Drosophila melanogaster: one gene and its partners. Changing the gene in region 2 together with the main gene of any one other region gives a genetic interaction. Each region holds a gene or a part of one and is shown on either strand. Other genes may lie near its edges. The genes, in order: Trxr1, Sod1, Sod2 and Adck1.

Evidence for each region.
Region 1: of Sod1 (region 2) and Trxr1, changing one enhances a phenotype caused by changing the other (phenotypic enhancement), as found in Drosophila melanogaster (one study listed by BioGRID).
Region 3: of Sod1 (region 2) and Sod2, changing one enhances a phenotype caused by changing the other (phenotypic enhancement), as found in Drosophila melanogaster (one study listed by BioGRID).
Region 4: of Sod1 (region 2) and Adck1, changing one suppresses a phenotype caused by changing the other (phenotypic suppression), as found in Drosophila melanogaster (one study listed by BioGRID).

What each region holds. Positions count from the first base shown.
Region 1 is NC_004354.4:8,241,833-8,248,556, reverse strand, and holds Trxr1 (thioredoxin reductase 1), read right to left. Parts: upstream 4,976-6,724; 5' UTR 4,829-4,975; coding exon 4,498-4,828; intron 4,369-4,497; exon of another isoform or gene 4,127-4,368; coding exon of another isoform or gene 4,060-4,126; intron 3,170-4,059; exon of another isoform or gene 2,931-3,169; coding exon of another isoform or gene 2,813-2,930; intron 2,464-2,812; coding exon 2,118-2,463; intron 2,048-2,117; coding exon 1,821-2,047; intron 1,750-1,820; coding exon 863-1,749; 3' UTR 524-862; downstream 1-523. Other genes in the region: sni (sniffer), read left to right, coding at 5,481-5,606, 6,301-6,352, 6,414-6,724. UniProt on the Drosophila melanogaster protein: Thioredoxin system is a major player in glutathione metabolism, due to the demonstrated absence of a glutathione reductase.
Region 2 is NT_037436.4:11,111,725-11,115,465, forward strand, and holds Sod1 (superoxide dismutase 1), read right to left. Parts: upstream 2,017-3,741; 5' UTR 1,916-2,016; coding exon 1,850-1,915; intron 1,125-1,849; coding exon 729-1,124; 3' UTR 557-728; downstream 1-556. Other genes in the region: emei, read left to right, coding at 21-140; FoxK (forkhead box K), read right to left, coding at 3,361-3,694. UniProt on the Drosophila melanogaster protein: Destroys radicals which are normally produced within the cells and which are toxic to biological systems.
Region 3 is NT_033778.4:16,772,271-16,775,542, forward strand, and holds Sod2 (superoxide dismutase 2 (Mn)), read right to left. Parts: upstream 1,646-3,272; 5' UTR 1,520-1,645; coding exon 1,485-1,519; intron 1,369-1,484; coding exon 750-1,368; 3' UTR 515-749; downstream 1-514. Other genes in the region: Arp53D (Actin-related protein 53D), read left to right, coding at 1,992-2,079, 2,133-3,272. UniProt on the Drosophila melanogaster protein: Destroys superoxide anion radicals which are normally produced within the cells and which are toxic to biological systems.
Region 4 is NT_033778.4:24,609,729-24,614,410, reverse strand, and holds Adck1 (aarF domain containing kinase 1), read right to left. Parts: upstream 2,709-4,682; 5' UTR 2,589-2,708; exon of another isoform or gene 2,567-2,588; intron 2,530-2,566; exon of another isoform or gene 2,245-2,529; 5' UTR 2,237-2,244; coding exon 1,124-2,236; intron 1,061-1,123; coding exon 965-1,060; intron 904-964; coding exon 556-903; 3' UTR 505-555; downstream 1-504. Other genes in the region: CG4741 (uncharacterized protein), read left to right, coding at 136-378, 440-497, 3,129-3,451; CG42360 (uncharacterized protein), read right to left, coding at 3,910-4,114, 4,174-4,395, 4,456-4,682. UniProt on the Drosophila melanogaster protein: Essential for maintaining mitochondrial cristae formation and mitochondrial function by acting via YME1L to regulate the mitochondrial structural proteins Opa1 and Mitofilin. This function is likely to be kinase-independent.

The DNA of each region.
Region 1 (6,724 bases), on a different chromosome or scaffold from region 2:
CTCGCTTTGTTTCGTGGCATCCAATCGGAGATACCACCTCGAAAGTGTTCCATACATACATATATGATTAATGCTAATTCCTTATAGAAGCTATTGAATTCTCTTTGCTGTTCATTAATTGATTGCATCAATTTACTGTCTTAATTTGATTTTGATTTGCTTGCGAGGATTCCTTAGGTCATAAACTTCAACCTTTTCGTAGCTTCTATTACACTTTATCACGCACTGTTTTTCCTTTGAAAACTAAAGTATAATTTATTACCCACTGATATATGTATCTCCAGGGTGCCATCGTTCGTAGCTGATTTATAGCCCTCGAGGGCAAAGATTCCCCTAGCAATGGCATTAGCAATTAGTCGGGTGGCTAACAAGTTGTCAGGCTGGCAGACAGAATCGATTTAGCCAGGTCAAGTCAAGCCATTTGCATGGCTAATGAACTTACTTGATTGAAAAGGCAGAGGAAGGGCTAAAGGTCGAGGTATGTTTTAAAGGAAATGCACAGAACTGAAACACAGAGGGGTTTGTTGGTGAAAAATTATATTCTTCAACCGTACATTTAGGGGATTTCATAGTTAATTTCATAGGTTCAAACAAATTCAAAATTTTGAGTGCATGTCGGCGGCGCAGCAGTCGTGGGTTGGGCTGGTCGCGCGGGTAGTTCCACTGGTGTCGTTCCACCCGCCATCGCTGCCCAGTGCCCCTCCCTTGCGCAGAGCTATTGTGTTGGGTGTTAATTGTGGAAACGAAACGGAACTATTGAACTCATCGATCGCTGGGCCGCGACAACAACCATTCATCTACGGGATTTCGGGTGGAGCAAGCGGCTTCGACACGTCCCAGGCGGCTGAGCTGCGTTCCCGCTTTAGCTGCAGCAGCTGGCCGGCGTGGGGTCCAGTCCGGAGCGCTTGGTGATGGCCAGCCGGGTGAATTCTTCGGCGGTAGTGGGATGGATGCCCACGGTGTTGATCAGCGTGTTAATAGTCAGGCCAGACTTCAAAGCGGCAGCGAATCCCTGGATAACCTCACCGGCCACCGGGCCAATATAGTGCAGTCCATAGACGCGCTGGTCACCATGGCGCTCGGCCACAGCCTTCAAGTAGCAGTAGCGCACGCTCTTCTGGGGAATGAAGAACTCCGTGGGCTTGTAGTAGCCGTGGAACACCTCGATCTCATCGGCTCCGAACTGCTTGACGGCATCCTCCTCGCTCAGGCCGACGCAGGCGTACTCCAGGGGCGTGAAAACGGTGGTGGCCACATCCTTGTAGTCCATGCGCTGGGTAGATCCTCCGTACAGGCGGCGGGCCAGCAAACGGCCAGCCAAAACGGCGACGGGCGTCAGCTCTGGCTTGCCATAGATGATATCGCCGACAGCGTAGATGTTTGCCACATTGGTAGCCTCCTGGGAGTCCACTGGAATCTTGTCCTTCTGCACAGTCACGCCGGCATTGGGCAGGTTCAGATCGTCCACCAGACCCTTGCGGCCGATGGCCCACAGAACGGTGTCGTAAACATCCTCGGCCTCCTCGCCGGTCTCCACGTTCTTGTACTTCACGAGCAGCTTGCCATCATCCTGCTTTTCCACGGACAGCGGCACCGTCTTGCGGAGGAAGGGAATGCCACGCTCCTCCATCGAGGCTGCCACCAGCTCGGCCATCTGCTGGTCGAAGCCACGCAGCACAATAGAACGCACCATCACAGTGGGCTCGTAGCCGAGACCCTTCAGGAATCCAGCGCACTCCAAGCCAATGTCTGAGTGAAAGAGCAGAAACCGAATGGGTTATTCATCAATTTGATGTAAGCAAATGAAAGTAGCTACTTACAGCCAGCTCCCACCACCAGGGTCTTGCCGGGCTCGCGGTCCAAACTGAACAGATCATCGCTGGTGATGCCATACTCGACAGCACCGGGAATATCCGGATAACGTGGTCGGCCGCCAACGGCAATGACGAAGGTCTGGGCGGTGATTGTGCGCTCGCCGCTCTTCAGCTTGGCCAGCAGTGTGTGCGAGTCCACGAAGGAGCCCAGTCCATTGATGTACTCCACTTTCCTGAGCGCAAATAGAAGGGTATAATTAGTGGGGATGCTCGAGCGGAAGCCATAGATATAGTCACACTTACTTGTCGCGCAGATCCACACGGGTCACCCAGTTGACGGACTTGATGTGGTTCTGTACGGACTGCACCAGCTTGTGCCAGTCTGGCTTGATCTTTTCGTCCACGTTCCAGCCGTAGGCGGCCGCCTCATGGACAGCCTCGCCCAGAAGGGAGGCCTGGTGCATCAGCTTCTTGGGAATGCAGCCCACGTTCACGCAGGTGCCGCCAACGCCCCACTTGGTGCCCAGAGTGGGCGTGGGCTTAACGAAATCCAGACAGGCCACACGGGCTCCATTGAGGACTGCCTCCTTGGCGCAGGCCAGGCCAGCTGAGCCGCCTCCAATCACAATAAGGTCGTAGTCGTAGGATCCTGCAGGAGAAAAAAGGTTTTCGTTTGATTCATCGCCTTTTGTCTATAGAAATATGTAATCTACTGCCAAAATTGGGCTTAAAGAGGTCAAGAGGTCACAGAACATGAGGAGCCGTCAGGAAATCTAATCGTAGCACAGCCAATTCACCTTGTATTATTAAAAACTTATCACCGTTAGTAACATCAATAGCCATGTTGTATTGGCATGGTCTGTTTTTGTTCTTAACCAGTATCTAGATTAGTTGAAAATCCTTATCAGTGATAGGTAATGATATCAATTAGCCATGTGGTGCCAACTACTCAAGTTTCTCTTTAGCTTCACTCATGATTATGGCTAATCCCCGCCTGCCTTTGGTGGACTCCTCGCGCAGTCGTATGTCCAGATAGGCGGATCGGTAGATGCTCCTCCGGTGGCGTGGTTCACCCTCGACCAACTGGGAAGCCGGTATGAATTCGAACAGATGCATCCAGACCAAAGAAGTGCGGAACGAAGACTGTTTGGCCTCCTGCAATCCGTAATCTGCACCGTGCAATCCCGTCGAGCTCCTTGGCTTCAGTTGCCAGGTAGCGATAGTGCTGCCGAATGCCACACATGCCACTGGGTCAGTGGGAGTTCGAATCAAAGTGGAGCAATCATCTAGCGACATCGCCACACACCAAGCCACGCCCATCCCAGCCCGGCCACGCCTTTCTTCCGTCCGTCCACCTACGCCCCCCCATTCGGTTTGCTTTGACCCGCCGGACTTTGTCATGGTTACGCCCCAAAACTAGTTGGCAACACCACACACAATTCGCTTTTATCGGACGGAATGCTAATCCTGGCCAGGAACAGGGGGAAATCAGGTGGCTACGTACGAATGCGAGTGCAAATAAACAATTGTTGTCGTCACACTGCAATTAATTGCGGAATGAAGTGGTGATGACGCAGCTCAGCAATGATGATGAAAGATCAAAGACGATGGCGGGCGCTCGTTGAGCGACGGATACGAGAGATACGAAATAGAAAACACAGATAAAGGGAATAAATGCACCCGACTGATATGGTGAAATCATCATCATCATCATCATAAAGCGATTCTCGAACATTCCGCAAAGGGTTATTCGTTCAAGAGCACCGCATTCGACAAAAATCACACATATCACGTTGGTGCTTTAAGAAATCCTATTATACCCTTAATTACCATTTGAAATCAGAATATGGCATATATTTATAAGTAAATTCTTCTATTGTTTTCGGAATTAGAAGCTTCGTATCTGCTCGATTGGCTAATTATTCATTTAACAAGAAAACTTGATCGTGGCATGTGGGATTTATATTATATTACAAATTAAAACATCAAATACGTTTAACTTCATATAAATAGATATTAGTTTTTTTTTACCAGCTAAAGGCAAAATGGCAATACAAGTGACTTGTATGAATGTAATTTAACAAATATTATTAATTCGTTAAGTCATATGATGTAATTCTTTTTTGAGGCAAATAACTGATATTGTTTAAGCTGCAATTGAGTAATGGTTTTATGAGCAATCCATAATTCAATTAAAAAAATTCGACTGACATAGTATTTATACGCGATTCAGAACTTTGTTGACCATTATACTTAGAGGATGTGCTCTTTTTGGCGCCCACAACGATGGCGCAAATCATGTACTTCAGCATGATACGAGTTTCGAGTGCTGTTCGCGCGACCCCGACTGTACAATTCCAGTTGGAGCGGGTGCGCGATGACGATTGACGATGACGGTGCAAATGTGAGACAGCAAATGCCGGGCAGGCATATAAACCCTTGGCGAATACGTGCCGCAGAAACCCGATAAGCCAGGTAATAAGAGCAGAGTAATGGACTTTTTGGCCAGGCAACTAACGGTTATTGCATAATGGCGTCGGTTAAACACAAGAAGACCCAGAAAAAACAACAAGCAAGAAAACCGCGACAATCGACCGCGTTGCCAACCGGCGGCAACAGGAGCAGCAGCTGCGGCGGCAACAGCAAAGATCTAATCAGAATATCAATCGATATCGATGCTCACCTCCTTTGGTGCTCATCTTTCGCACCGGTTGCGCGTACATGGCCGCCCTGTCGCAATGTGGATGCTGGAAGGGTGGTGGTGCGCCGGCACCGGATCCGGCTGGAGCATTCCCACCGGTAGCTCCAGTACTGTCGCGTGATCCTCGCTGTCCCGTCAAGTTCATAGTTCGCTGAAACGTGTGATGGGCACAGCTGAGACTACTGGAAATCCAATGGGGAACCTTTGTTGTCAGTGAGCCTCTGTTTTGTATAATGCCAGCCGAAGGAGACGTTAAAATCGTCGAGCACTGCCGCACGAACGTAACGGAGAATCTCGAATTGCACAAGTTCATCTTGTTGGCCTTTCCCCTTCTTCAACGTTTGGCGTTTCACTCTACCAGCTGGAGGCGAAACGAAACTATTCGCGAAAAGGGTGCAGAAAAATGACGGCGGAACACACAACACAAACACGTTCGCTGGTTCGGCCGGGAATGCTGCGAAAGCGGTGGGCAGGCAGAGGCGCCGATAAACGGCTACGTAACAGAAGCAGCGAGAAAGAGAGAGGGCGCAAGAGCGCGTACCGCAAAAACGAGAATGTTTGGGATAAAATGGATTTGCCATAAAGGAGCATCCATTGGATTGCGAAATTCCATTTGGGATTTGAACATCACAACAGTTGTTCTGCCCTTTGCCAATTGGAAATGTGCGAAACGCACGTTTGGCAATGCGCAAGTGTATCGATAACTCGCGGATGGTTGGTAACACTGCTGCTGTCCGAACGAAACAGCCGGCCGTCAAAATTTTTCCTAACATTTCACTATTTTCACGCTTGTGTTACGGCAATAAAGTCGATTGATAAGCACGGAAAGATCTGGCTGCGGGTCTGGTGAAATCCACAGAACACACGGAACCCGTATAGTAGTGCCGCCCTTTATTGGTTTTATCTCAAGTACGACGCGATAAGATTTCGAGCAACTCGATCGCGGATCTTCGGAAAAAAAAAACATGAACTCCATCCTGATAACCGGCTGCAATCGAGGATTGGGTCTGGGCCTGGTCAAGGCGCTGCTCAATCTTCCCCAGCCGCCGCAGCATCTATTTACCACCTGCCGGAATCGCGAGCAGGCAAAGGTGAGAGATGTTTTCTTCTTATTTTGCGTTGTCTCTCTACTAAGACAATCCAGTAATCCAACAAAACCGGTGACTCACAACCGTCGAGCTACAGAAACTACAGAAGCTACGCGAACAATCCACAAGAGCCACTATTTCTACAAACCGCTTTTTAATCGTCCAAATGGGCATGCATAAATTGAATGGTTCAATTGGAATCGAATTAACTGTGAAACTCACCTTGCACGGGCGCCATTATTTTGTTGCTTGTTGGTAGGTGCTCCACGTAAATCAGACAGAAAACAAGGATCAACGGCGGGTAGTGAATGTTGTTGTAGTCGAAGCGGAAATGTAAAAACTGCTAAGCGTGTATTGTAGCGGCTCTCGGCACTCGCGAAAGCACGAAACGAATAAGCGGAGCCAACTTTTGCAATAGCTTTTGTACTTTCGTACGAGCGTGCGAAAGGGAGACGTCGATTGGCTTGTCGATTGCTGGGCCGACTATTGTTCGGTCACACCAGCAGCACTTATCGTCTATCGGTTATTATGGCACTAACGCGCTCGTTGGGCGCGCTATTTAAACTCTCATGAAATACCAAATTTGCCTCTAAAAATTACAGTAATTTAACTGGAAAATTATTCATATATAAACTGCTTTTTTACTAATAATGTGCTTCTTATTCAAACATTTTGTCTTTCCCAATTTGGCCCACAGGAGCTGGAGGATCTAGCCAAGAACCACTCGAACATACACATACTTGAGATTGGTAAGCATTATGTTTTACCAGCCGCTAAACACTCTCGCATATAAATATATTTTCCGTGCAGATTTGAGAAATTTCGATGCCTATGACAAGCTAGTCGCCGACATCGAGGGCGTGACCAAGGACCAAGGCCTCAATGTGCTCTTCAACAATGCCGGCATAGCGCCCAAATCGGCCAGGATAACGGCCGTTCGATCGCAGGAGCTGCTCGACACCTTGCAGACCAACACGGTTGTGCCCATCATGCTGGCCAAGGCGTGTCTGCCGCTCCTTAAGAAGGCAGCCAAAGCGAACGAATCCCAGCCGATGGGCGTGGGCCGTGCCGCCATTATTAACATGTCCTCGATCCTTGGCTCCATCCAGGGCAACACGGAC
Region 2 (3,741 bases):
AATCATAATTTCTTTTTCAGGTTTTCTCCACGGAGGTGTACAAGGGTTTCCTGGGCTTTGCCACCTGGTGGAGCTACTTCACCCTATTCGCCACTTCATCGCTGGGCATTGTCTACCAATCATATTTCAACAAGACCTAGGTTCATTTAAATCCCCGTCGTAGTATATGACTTTGTTCTTTTGTAGTGAATTTATACCGCACACGAAATTAATATTAGTTTCTACTCATGTGGCGAGTATCTTGATTTACAATATTTTTTGTAAATAATACTACCTAACTCATTGTTTATAAAGTGTGTTTTAAAGACTTTTAACCAGGCTGCCCGGAGAGTAACCAAAGTAATTACAAAAATAAATAAATAATCTAAAACGGAGATATGTTATCAAAACATGAACGAATGTGTGTCTCATCGTGATTTTTGGGTTCTGCACTCATCTAATATGTAATTCATTTCATACGAATCTATAACCCGATTCTACTTGCGAATTCGTCGAGCAACAAGTGATATATTCATTCTTACCATCTCAACTCAAATGAAAACTATAACTTTTGTTTATGGGGCAATTTCAAAACACCAATTTATTGAACCTCAAAGGTTGCGTATCAACTAACAGACCACAGGCTATGTATTTATGTTTAGAAGTATGTATATCGTTTGTATATCTCCAGTGGGTAGTGCTAAATAGAGTAGATCAGCACAGTGGCCGACATCGGAATAGATTATCGCTTAGACCTTGGCAATGCCAATAACGCCGCACCCGATGCGGGCACCAGCGTTGCCCGTTGACTTGCTCAGCTCGTGTCCACCCTGGCCAAGATCATCGGCATCGGCGTGCACGACAACGGTGCGTCCGATGATGCTGTCGGCGCCGAAGAGCGTAATCTTGGAGTCGGTGATGTTGACCTTGGTGGGGCAGTCGCCGGTGGCCTCAATGTTGCCCAGATCGCCCAGGTGACGATTCTCGTCGACGGGAGCGCCATGCTCCTTGCCATACGGATTGAAGTGCGGTCCGGACGACATGCAGCCATTGGTGTTGTCACCGAACTCGTGCACGTGGAATCCGTGCAGACCCTTGGCCAGGCCGCACACCTCACCGGAGACCTTCACGGGCGTACCGCTGCTCTGTGGACGGGATGAAGGGATTGGGTTATAACGCTTCAGATAATACTCGAATACTGATAAGACACAAGTTGTGTATAATAGTGAGCAGAAGCACTGATTATGATAACGAGCGTGGCCAACTTCATATGATAATAGGTTATTATAGAAAATAACATTTGTTAATAGACACACGTTAAACGGAAATATTTATAGGCAGCAAAGTAAACATTTGGTTATCTTTATAGATTAAAAACATAAATTTCCTCGGCACTGAAACATAACCTGTAATCATCAAGTTTATAATCGTTTACTTGACACTTGACATTGCTGCTTTGACTTTGATGTACAAATTAATTATGAACAGCATCATTCTAATTATTCCCATATTCCTAATGCTTATTCTAAAACAAATATTTGTTGATATTTAACGATACTTTACGAACAAGTGAGCTTTATATCTTAACTCCTTTTTATGTCCAGTACCAATTTCGTGACCTTTGCTGTAGGCACTTGAGCGCACACACATATGCGCATTTTGGTGCGGCTTATATAAATATAAAGGTGCACTTGCTGGGTGACTAGGCGTAAACTCAAATCGGACTTAATTAAAATGCTCGACAGAATTTAAAGCAGCATATTGAAGTGGAAGAGGGGGCCGCGGGTGCAGCCGGCTATTTGACCTTTAGAACTTCTGTTTTTCGTACATTTTGCCGAGCAGAGAAGTTCAAATGATTTTGGATTCTCACCTCCTGTTCGAAGAAAACCGTGCCCTTGGCATCGCCGTTAATTACGCAGACAGCTTTAACCACCATTTCGAATGAATTAATCAATTTATCAAAACGAAAAAAGTTGAGAACTTTCCAGGTATCTTCTATGGTGTGACCGTAGCAGAGCAGCTTAGAAATACATGCGGAACTTTTACTGTTAGTGTTCAGTTGTGCAAAAGTTTCGTTCACACTATTATGCCGTTACTGGAAGCATTTTTTCTTTGTAATATTTCAAGCTCATGTTTTATTGGGACATTTATTTACATTTTTAAGGATAAAAGCTACAAATTACAAAATTTGAAAACGGAACAATTTTACTGCACAAATGGCGTTGAATTTTTTGAGCTGTTCAACGAACGGGTGGTTCACTTGGAAGCCTTCCATTTATTCCAATGACAGTGGCGGGAACTATTCAATTTACTTTGTTTTGTATAAATAAAAAACGAATCCAGGAATTCCCCAATAAATGCCCAGACTTGATTGCGCTCCTGTTGACTAGTATCAACTAGTATTCATTCATCTATCTAATTCAATTAAAGCAGGTAAATATTAACAAATTGAAACAAGAAAGTTTACATTTGATTTTTGTTTTTTTTTTTAATACACAATTTGTCCAAACACTTAAATGGGATTTTCTTCATTAATAAGAAATAATGTGCTATCATTTCAATCTTTATATATTGTTATTGTATCCGTAAATTTGTAGATATTACTTATTTATTTTCATCATTTTTGTTTTTGTTTGTATTTTAATAATTTGTATATATATTAATATAGATATACATATATATATATACACATATATATATATATTATATTTAAATCGATATAGGTAAAGGTATGTAGATAGGTAATATTATTCATTCGCCTGTTTGTTTGTTTGTTTGTTACTTGTGTGGTTTGCTTGCTTGTTACTTAATTTTCCCCAAATTTTTTTTCACGTTTCTCGCACAATTCGGTCACATAGCTATAACATCTTAAACATCATAATCATCAATCATTACAATAATCAATCGCATATATCTAGATAATTTTGCTTTGTTTGCTGCTTTACCTTGTTGTAAACTTAAAATTTATTATATTACTTAGAGAGTAGCGTCATCGAGCATATTGAATTCGTCAGATCTAGGGGATAAAGTCGTTACTTCGAATCGGGTTTTCGAATTTTCAAAATGTGTGCTTGCATAAGTCGCCGCCGTTGAACGGCTGCATGGCCAACATTTCAAACACAATCATCTCACAGTTGCTATTTGTAAAATGTTCCATATCAATTTACATATACATTGCTCTTCGCGTGCGTTCATGTTCCTTAAGTTCTGCGTGTGTGGCTATTTAATTTGATTTGTATTTCGGGGTTTAGGTATAGGTTTTTGATTGGCAAATTCAATATACAAGATGGAGATACTTTTTTGTTTTTGCTTTCTAATCGTTTACACCCATGGGCCTCACTATTTGCCCTTGTTCTGCCGGTGCTTCTGGATCCGCACGCATCAGAGCACTTCCGACACATACTTGGGTCGCTTGGCCACGGTGGCATCGGTGGCAGTGGTGACGCACTCCTCCTCGCTGGCCTCAATGTGGCCGCTGTAGTCGGTCGGCAACTCCTCGTAGATAATCTCTGAATGCTGTTGCTGGGCCACGGCCTGCTGCTGATGCAGCGTATGCTGCGATGCCCCGCCGCCCATCACATGGTTCCTCTTTAGCGCAAGCAGAGCTCCAACCCCGCCGCCTCCGCCGCCGCCGCTCGCTGCGCTTCCTTCCACATGCGTCTGTGGTGTGGCCACTCCAGAGCTTTGATTGGTTACGTAGTACGGACTGCCACTACTGGAAAATACGAAAATAAATGTTTAAGACACGCATTGAATGAATCA
Region 3 (3,272 bases), on a different chromosome or scaffold from region 2:
GAAGTTAAATTCCTTGATGGGCGTCAACAGTTCTCCTCACACACTCACAATCACAGTTCTTTATTAAATTATTATTGCACTCAAGTGGTTTATTTTGTATGTTTTTCATTCGTCACCGCCCTCAGGAAATTAAATGATTTTCCTTTGTTTCGTACTGGTCTCTCGATTTCAAAACTCCGGGCGATTTTCGAGGATGGCCATTACGCGAACAGGCAACAAACGACTCTGCCAGCGGCTGGCCATTTGTTCCACCATTCGGATACGCGTGCTGGAAAATTGTTTGCAGCTGCGCGCACGCAAGTTCGGGAAAACTCGGTGGAAATGTCAATTTTCCTCCCCCGATTTCGCGGCAGGCTGACTTTTGTTTTGTTTTTGTTTGGCTCGCGCACAGCTGATTTGCTAGAGATGGCACCATGGGCGGCAGTGTTGTAAAACATTTACAGTATTTGCGATATTTTAATTTAATATAAAAATTAATTTTTTTGGAGCGTAATAAAATTGATAAAAATAAAAAATATGAATAGGTATATGTATATTTTTTAATTCCTCAATGAAGTAATAGTTTCAATACGCCTTTGTGAAGCGTTATCTTCGGAAATTATGTTTTAAATTGTTTTATTCCCATTCATAAAAATTATAAAAATTAGTTGCTAGCTGGTACCAATTTATTAGCCGCAACTTAGACTACAATTTAGGATCTCCGATCCGCAGATGCTTATAGATTAAACATACGCAATCGCCGGCTGTGCTTAGCAACCGAGCTTCTTGGCCTCCTGGAAGCGGCACGAGATGTCATCCCAGTTGGCGATGTCCCAGATGGCCTCCACGTAGGAGGGACGCACGTTCTTGTACTGCAGATAGTAGGCGTGCTCCCAGACATCGATGCCGAAGAGCGGGATCAGGCCGGTGGAGGCCTCCAGGGGATCCTGGTTGGGCAGGGCGGCCAGTTGCAGTTTGCCCGACTTCTTGTTGAAGCCCAGCCAGCCCCAGCCGGAGCCCTGGACCGCCACGGTCAGCGTGGTCAGCTCCTTTTTGAACTCCTCGAGGCTCTTCCACTGCGACTCGATGGCCTTCTTCAGATCATCGCTGGGCTGGGTCTTGTTGGGCGAGAGGTTCTGCCAGAAGATGGTGTGGTTGATGTGGCCACCGCCATTGAAACGCAGGGCAGGAGCCAGCTGAATCAGCTTGGTGGTGTCGCTCTTCGACTTGGCCTCCTCCAGCTGCTCCTCGGCGGCATTTAGATTGTTGACGTAGGTCTGGTGGTGCTTCTGGTGATGCAGCTCCATGATCTCCCGGCAGATGATAGGCTCCAGGGCGGCATAGTCGTAGGGCAGCTTCGGTAGGGTGTGCTTGCCACGCACCGCCAGGCTGCAAAGGGTTAAGTGTGTCTTGTTTTATAATGTCCTCAAGATCAGGGTCGCCATTTGTTGCTATTTATGTAATCAGCCGGCATCGATTTGGGCATACTTTTTTTCGCAACTTACCTTGCAGTTTGCGAAATTTTACGGGCCACGAACATATCTGCGTTTTATTCGACTGCTAATAAGGCTAAGTCCCGATATCAGATTTTATATCAAATAAAACAAGGCTTACGTTCTCGTTATTTCGCTTGTTCTATTTGAACAATTTACTGCTAGAGATGAGCAGATGAGAAAATATCGAAAGACCCCAATCAGTCAGTGATGTGAGATCAACTTATATATATTGAAGTTAAATAGTAAAACTAAAAGAAATTAAAAACTATTTTTAATTGAAACATTGCACTGAAACATATTCAAATCATATTGAGGATTTCTTAAATATTTCTTATGTTTAAATACTACTTTAGTGACTATTAGCATATTTTAGCTGCTTACGTATCGACTGCATCCATTCGATTGATACTTGAATTAATCGATTTTTGGCCTCTGTATGTCATGGCGCTAAATTGGAAATAAACCATGAAATTAACGTCATAAGTTTAAAAATCCGACTGGAACACAGCACACAACATGTCTACATTTCAAATACCTTCCCGAATCAAAATCGATATAACAAATAAACGGGCACAGAACATTCTTCACAAATATCTACATTTACGTAAGTTGCTTAAATAAGCTAAAGATTTTATGATTTGACCATGATTCGTTCAGCAACCTCTCCTGGAAACATGAGCAGCGAGGTAGATAGTAATTCACACCACGCCGCAGTGGTTATTGACAACGGCTCTGGAGTATGTAAGGCTGGATTCTCCCCAGAAGATACTCCCCGTGCTGTCTTCCCGTCGATTGTGGGCAGACCTCGTCACCTGAACGTCCTGCTGGATTCCGTGATCGGTGATAGTGTTATTGGCGAGGCGGCAGCCCGAAAAAGGGGAATACTAACCCTAAAGTATCCCATCGAGCACGGAATGGTCAAGAACTGGGATGAAATGGAGATGGTTTGGCAGCACACGTACGAGCTCTTGCGGGCGGATCCAATGGATTTGCCGGCTCTACTCACCGAAGCCCCACTGAATCCGAAGAAGAATAGAGAGAAGATGACAGAGATTATGTTCGAACACTTTCAGGTGCCAGCTTTTTATGTAGCAGTTCAGGCTGTGCTCTCACTTTACGCCACCGGGCGTACTGTGGGCATTGTGGTGGACTCGGGTGATGGTGTGACGCACACGGTACCGATCTACGAAGGATTTGCCCTGCCCCACGCCTGTGTACGAGTTGATCTGGCCGGCAGGGACCTCACCGATTATCTATGCAAGCTGCTTCTGGAGAGGGGCGTTACAATGGGCACCTCTGCTGAACGGGAAATCGTGCGTGAAATCAAGGAGAAACTCTGCTATGTGTCAATGAACTATGCCAAGGAAATGGATCTCCACGGAAAGGTGGAAACCTATGAGCTGCCAGATGGGCAGAAAATCGTTTTGGGCTGCGAGAGATTCCGCTGCCCGGAGGCTCTCTTCCAACCCAGTTTGCTGGGTCAGGAGGTGATGGGCATCCACGAGGCCACCCATCACTCGATAACCAACTGCGACATGGATCTGCGAAAGGATATGTATGCGAACATTGTTCTCTCTGGCGGTACGACCATGTTTCGTAACATCGAGCATAGATTCCTGCAAGACCTAACCGAAATGGCTCCACCATCCATCCGAATCAAGGTTAACGCTAGTCCAGACCGCAGATTCTCCGTTTGGACGGGTGGTTCCGTCTTGGCCTCACTCACGAGCTTCCAAAACATGTGGATCGACAGCTTGGAGTACGAAGAAGTTGGTTCCGCCATAGTCCATCGAAAGT
Region 4 (4,682 bases), on a different chromosome or scaffold from region 2:
GTCTGACCCATGCCCGGATGTCCTATCAATTCGGTGGCCAGTAGTTCAGGTTAGTCGGCTCTGTCTGTTCGTCAGAGAACTGCTGTCTTCGAGACATTTTTCAGTTCCAATCAGGAATTAACACCCGAGTTCAACATGGCCCCTGCCATAAACGCGACGGTCAGCACCCCTTTTGACTCCACCACGGTGGCCAACGGAACACTTAACACCACTGAAAGTACGACATCGGATTGGGAATACGTTAACACCACTTCCGTCACAATTTGGATCAACGGTGGCGGCTACGATGGTCCATACATGTTATTTTATCCCAGCTATGTCATTTACATTGTGCTGGTCTTCCTCTTCGTCATCGCCTTTCCTCTGGCCATGATTATGGTAAGCCCATTCGGAATGGGACACTACCTGCTCCTGCTAATGATTCACTCTCTCCCCGAAGAGCGCCAAACGCAAGCGAGAGACCAATGTGCGGAATCTGGCCCAGCAGAGACAACGAGGTAATTTCCCTTTCCTCGTGAAGAGTTTTGTACTTTTAATTGGGGGACACCGTTTAGTCTAAATAACCTGCTTGAGAGCTTCAAGGAAACCAAAATTAATCAGTCCCAGGTAGAGGTAGTAGCAGTTGAGCTTGAAAAGCTCCCATCGCTCGCGCACCCGCAGCCACAGGATTCGCGAGGATCCGGAATCAGACTGCTTGGCTCGCTGTTCAGCGTACGAAGATTGAACACAGCACTTGGACATAACCCAGAAGGCGGTCATCCGGTTCTGCGTGCGCAGCGTGGACTCAATTCCGCGGATCAAGTCATTTGTCTTCAGAATGAGCAGCATCTGACGGTCCACCTGCTCCAATACGTCGGAAATGTGCGGCAGCACCAGGGACGTGTTGTTTTGCAGCGTGTTCTTCTGCAGAATCAAAGCATATACTACGAGTAATTGAAGAGAAGAATTTCCGGCACGAACTTACCTCTTCTTTGGAATATTTGACTTTGGTCAGGCCCTGCATCACCGTCTCCCAAGGTCGTCCCGTCACCATGCATGCGAAAAGACCGTACAGATCGCCCTGGATTGAAGGTTTAGAAGGTTAGAAGGTTTAGGTTCAAATCCACCTCCCAAGCGAAAATACCTTAATTCCCAGCTGCTCACTGTGTTGTCGCATCGCTTTGCGGTCCACCTTAAGGATACTCAGCCAGAGATTGGAATAATCGTACCGAAACTTGTCCGTCAGATTTGCATACAGCCCGTGATCCAGCAGAACTATCTCCAGACTGTTTTCCGGCGTGCGTCTTACCAAGATGTTTCCTGGATGCGGATCGCTGTGCACGAAACCGGTGCGGAAGATCATCTCGGAGTAGAGCTGCCCAATGCGATTGGCCACCGCAAATGAGTCAATTTTGTTTCGCCGTATGTAGTCCAAGTCCGTGACATGCCCACCCTCCAGGTACTCCATGACTAGGACTCGAGAAGAGCTATATTTCCAGTATATCTTGGGCACCCGAAGCCACGAGTACTTCTTGAACTGCTTGGCTACTTTCTCGGCGTTACGTCCCTCGTTTAGGAAATCGAGTTCGATTGGCAAGTTCTTTTTAGACTCCTCAACCAGCCAGTGGATCTTGAAGTCGGGAAATATCCGAGCCAGCACATTAACGGCCAGTTCCATGGTCTTCATGTCAACGCGGGAGTTACCCTTAACGTAGGGATGTTGCACCTTCACGGCCACCAGCTCGCCGGTCTTGAGGCGCGCCTTATGTACCTGGGCAAGGGAAGCAGTTCCCAGCGGCTCCCTCTCGAAGCTGTCGAAGATTTCTTCCGGATTGCAGTGCAGATCCTGTCGGATTACCTTATACAGGTCCTCAATGGGGTTTTGCGGCGCATCGGAGTGAAGTACCTTCATGGTCTGCACAAACTCCTTGGGTAGCAGGTACTCCAAGGCCCCTATGTGCTGGCCCACCTTGATGTAGACACCCTTGTTTATGCAGATCAGCTGAAGTAGCTTCTCGGCGGCTATCTTGTGGACCCGGCTCTTTTCCGCCTTGTACTCGGGCGTCTCCTTATCCCATTCCTTGTAGTAAAGTTCCCGCTTGTAGGTGAGTGCCACGTCCACGACGGCGGCGGCGGATCGCGACAGCCGGACGATTCCGAGTGAGTTGGGATCGTAGTCGTTGGTGTGCAGGCTCCAGCCGGCGGAGGCCAGTCCGGCGCCGACTACTCCGTAGCCCAGAACGCGACGCAACAGCATTCCTCCGGCTGCAAAATGAAGAGCGTTTAGTCCGGTGTGCAAAAACAACAGGTGTCAATGCCGATTAACCTTTGGGCTTTCACCTAAATTAAGCGCGTAGTTTTACGCGGAACCAAGGCACTGAGGCACTTTGAACTTTGCCCTCCGCTAACTGATTTTTGGCGAATACAGCCCACTTAACCTGTTGCATCTCCGCCAGCATTTTCATTTACATTTTTCCCATTTACATTTTCCAGCGCTCACATGTAGCTAAACTTTCACCTCAGTAATTTCGTCTGCGCCATTATGTAAACACAACTGACTGAAGGTGAGTCGCGGCTCGCTCGGAATGACTGCCAATAGTTTCACTTACTCGATATGGTGCACTACAGATAGCGCCGGAGTTCAACGGCGCGTAGGTGTTGAAATTCCAAAGTCTGTGATTAAATTGATGCGCTTCCACTTCTGTGGTGGCCTTAGTTGGCGCAATCAGCTGTTGGCCTGGCGTCAGAGCAGCTGACCCAATAGCAGAGCTCAAGGGCGTAGTTGTTTTGGCATAAGGGGGTTGAGTGCTCTTACCATAATATAACGGCTTTTTAATCAGCATGAAAAACGTTATTATAAATGTCGTTTAAAATAAAGAACGACTCGAACAGTATGTTGAAAGTCATTAGTGAGACCCGACCCCCCTGTGGAAGGCTGGTTGCTTTTTCTGCTTTAAAAGCGGGTAACATTTAACGGTTAACAGAACATGTTACGCTATATATAAAGGAATACCAATATTAGCAGGTATCGGTTAACAGAACGCAGCGATTTAGACGTATATTTAAAAGATATAGTTGCTAACTTCCGTTTTTAAAGAGATTCTCTGAGGTTTCCTTGTCCACTACGATTTAAATCTCTTTTTTCGCAGCCCGTCGCCAAATGGAGATCAATGTGACGAACAATTGCAACGGCGGCTCCGGAGGAGTCGGAAACGTGTGCTCAAACAGCCAGAACGAAGTTAGTGTCCTGCCCAAGACCTTGGATTTGCCGCCCAGCTACGACGAGGCCGCTTTTAGCGAGCGAAAGCAGGACAGCACACTGACCATAGCCACCAGCTTGGAAGCGAGCAATCCCAATTTGGCGGTTGGAATTAACGAACCACCGCCGGTTTACGAGGCGAACGTGGCCACAACCACCACTTCCACCACCACCACCGTATTTTTGGTCAACGGCCAACCACCAGTGGTGTAACAAAGCATTGGACTTCTGAGAAATAGTAAATCTATTATTATTTATACACTAAACAAGACACTGTACAGCTTTGCCTTTGTAAATAAATCTTGCTCCTCGGCAACTCTTTAATTTTGCATAACTTATAAACCCCATTGGAGTAAATAAATAAATAAACGTATAGTGCATATTAAAAAATTTTTCTGGTCGAAAATTATATGTAAATAATGAACTTCGTAATTTTGCAAGATTTTTAAAATAGTAGGCATATGAAAACCCTTCTGGTCGAAAACTATATGCTATATGCTAATAAAATGAGTAAACGCTGCGTATTAACTCTTCAGTATTGACCAACTTAACGCTAATTGTAAAGGAAAAGAAAGTTGAATAATTCGCAACCAAACTAAATGAAAACTACTAACTTAAGATATAACACGAAACTAAAGAATAATTTGAAAACAAATATATGGCTAGGTGCATTAGCACCTCAAAATTTCGTCGAGGGTAGGTCCCCAGCGGCCGTAAGGATCCTTGGGTAAAATGAATATGTTGTCGCACCAGGAGTAACCAAGAACTCGATTCTCAACGATCAATTTAAATGCAGGATTTTCATTAATCAGGTCTCTGTAGTTGTCGTTGGAAACCACGGCGGCATTCTTTTCGTATGCCAGCTGCAAAATGAAACTGAAAAAAAAAATTATGCATTTCCATTTCTAAATAGAAGTTTTTTCTAAGGAGCTCACCGATCATCGTAGCTAGACGTAATTTGACCGGGAATGTTTTTGCACGGCGTAAACACAATCTTCCCTTCCTTGTGCAGCTTATCGAGAAGCTCGGGATTCGAAGACTTGAAGTTGTTTTTCCGGAACATTGGAACCACAGCCTTAACTTCGTGACCCATTTTCTCAAAATACTGCAAGCAATACTTTATTCCCTCTGATGAAAACACGTTTGAGTTGCCATGACTGTCAAATGAAAATGAAATAAATAGTCCGTCTAGAGTTAGCTTTAAGCAGAGAACTTACGCAAAGGCGACATTGCTACCATCGATGATAACAAACCTCTTATTCGTTTTCGGCTTATTACTCGCCTCTCCTGCTTCCTCCGTGGGATTAAATGTGTTGGTGTTATAGTCTCCGAGCTTCTTCTTTTCTTCAGTGGTGAAGAAGCTGTCATTCATTCGAGCAGTCTTCTTATTGGGCGTTTTCGCAGGCCTAGCCCTTCTCTGCTTCTCTCCTTCCCGAAACGGCGG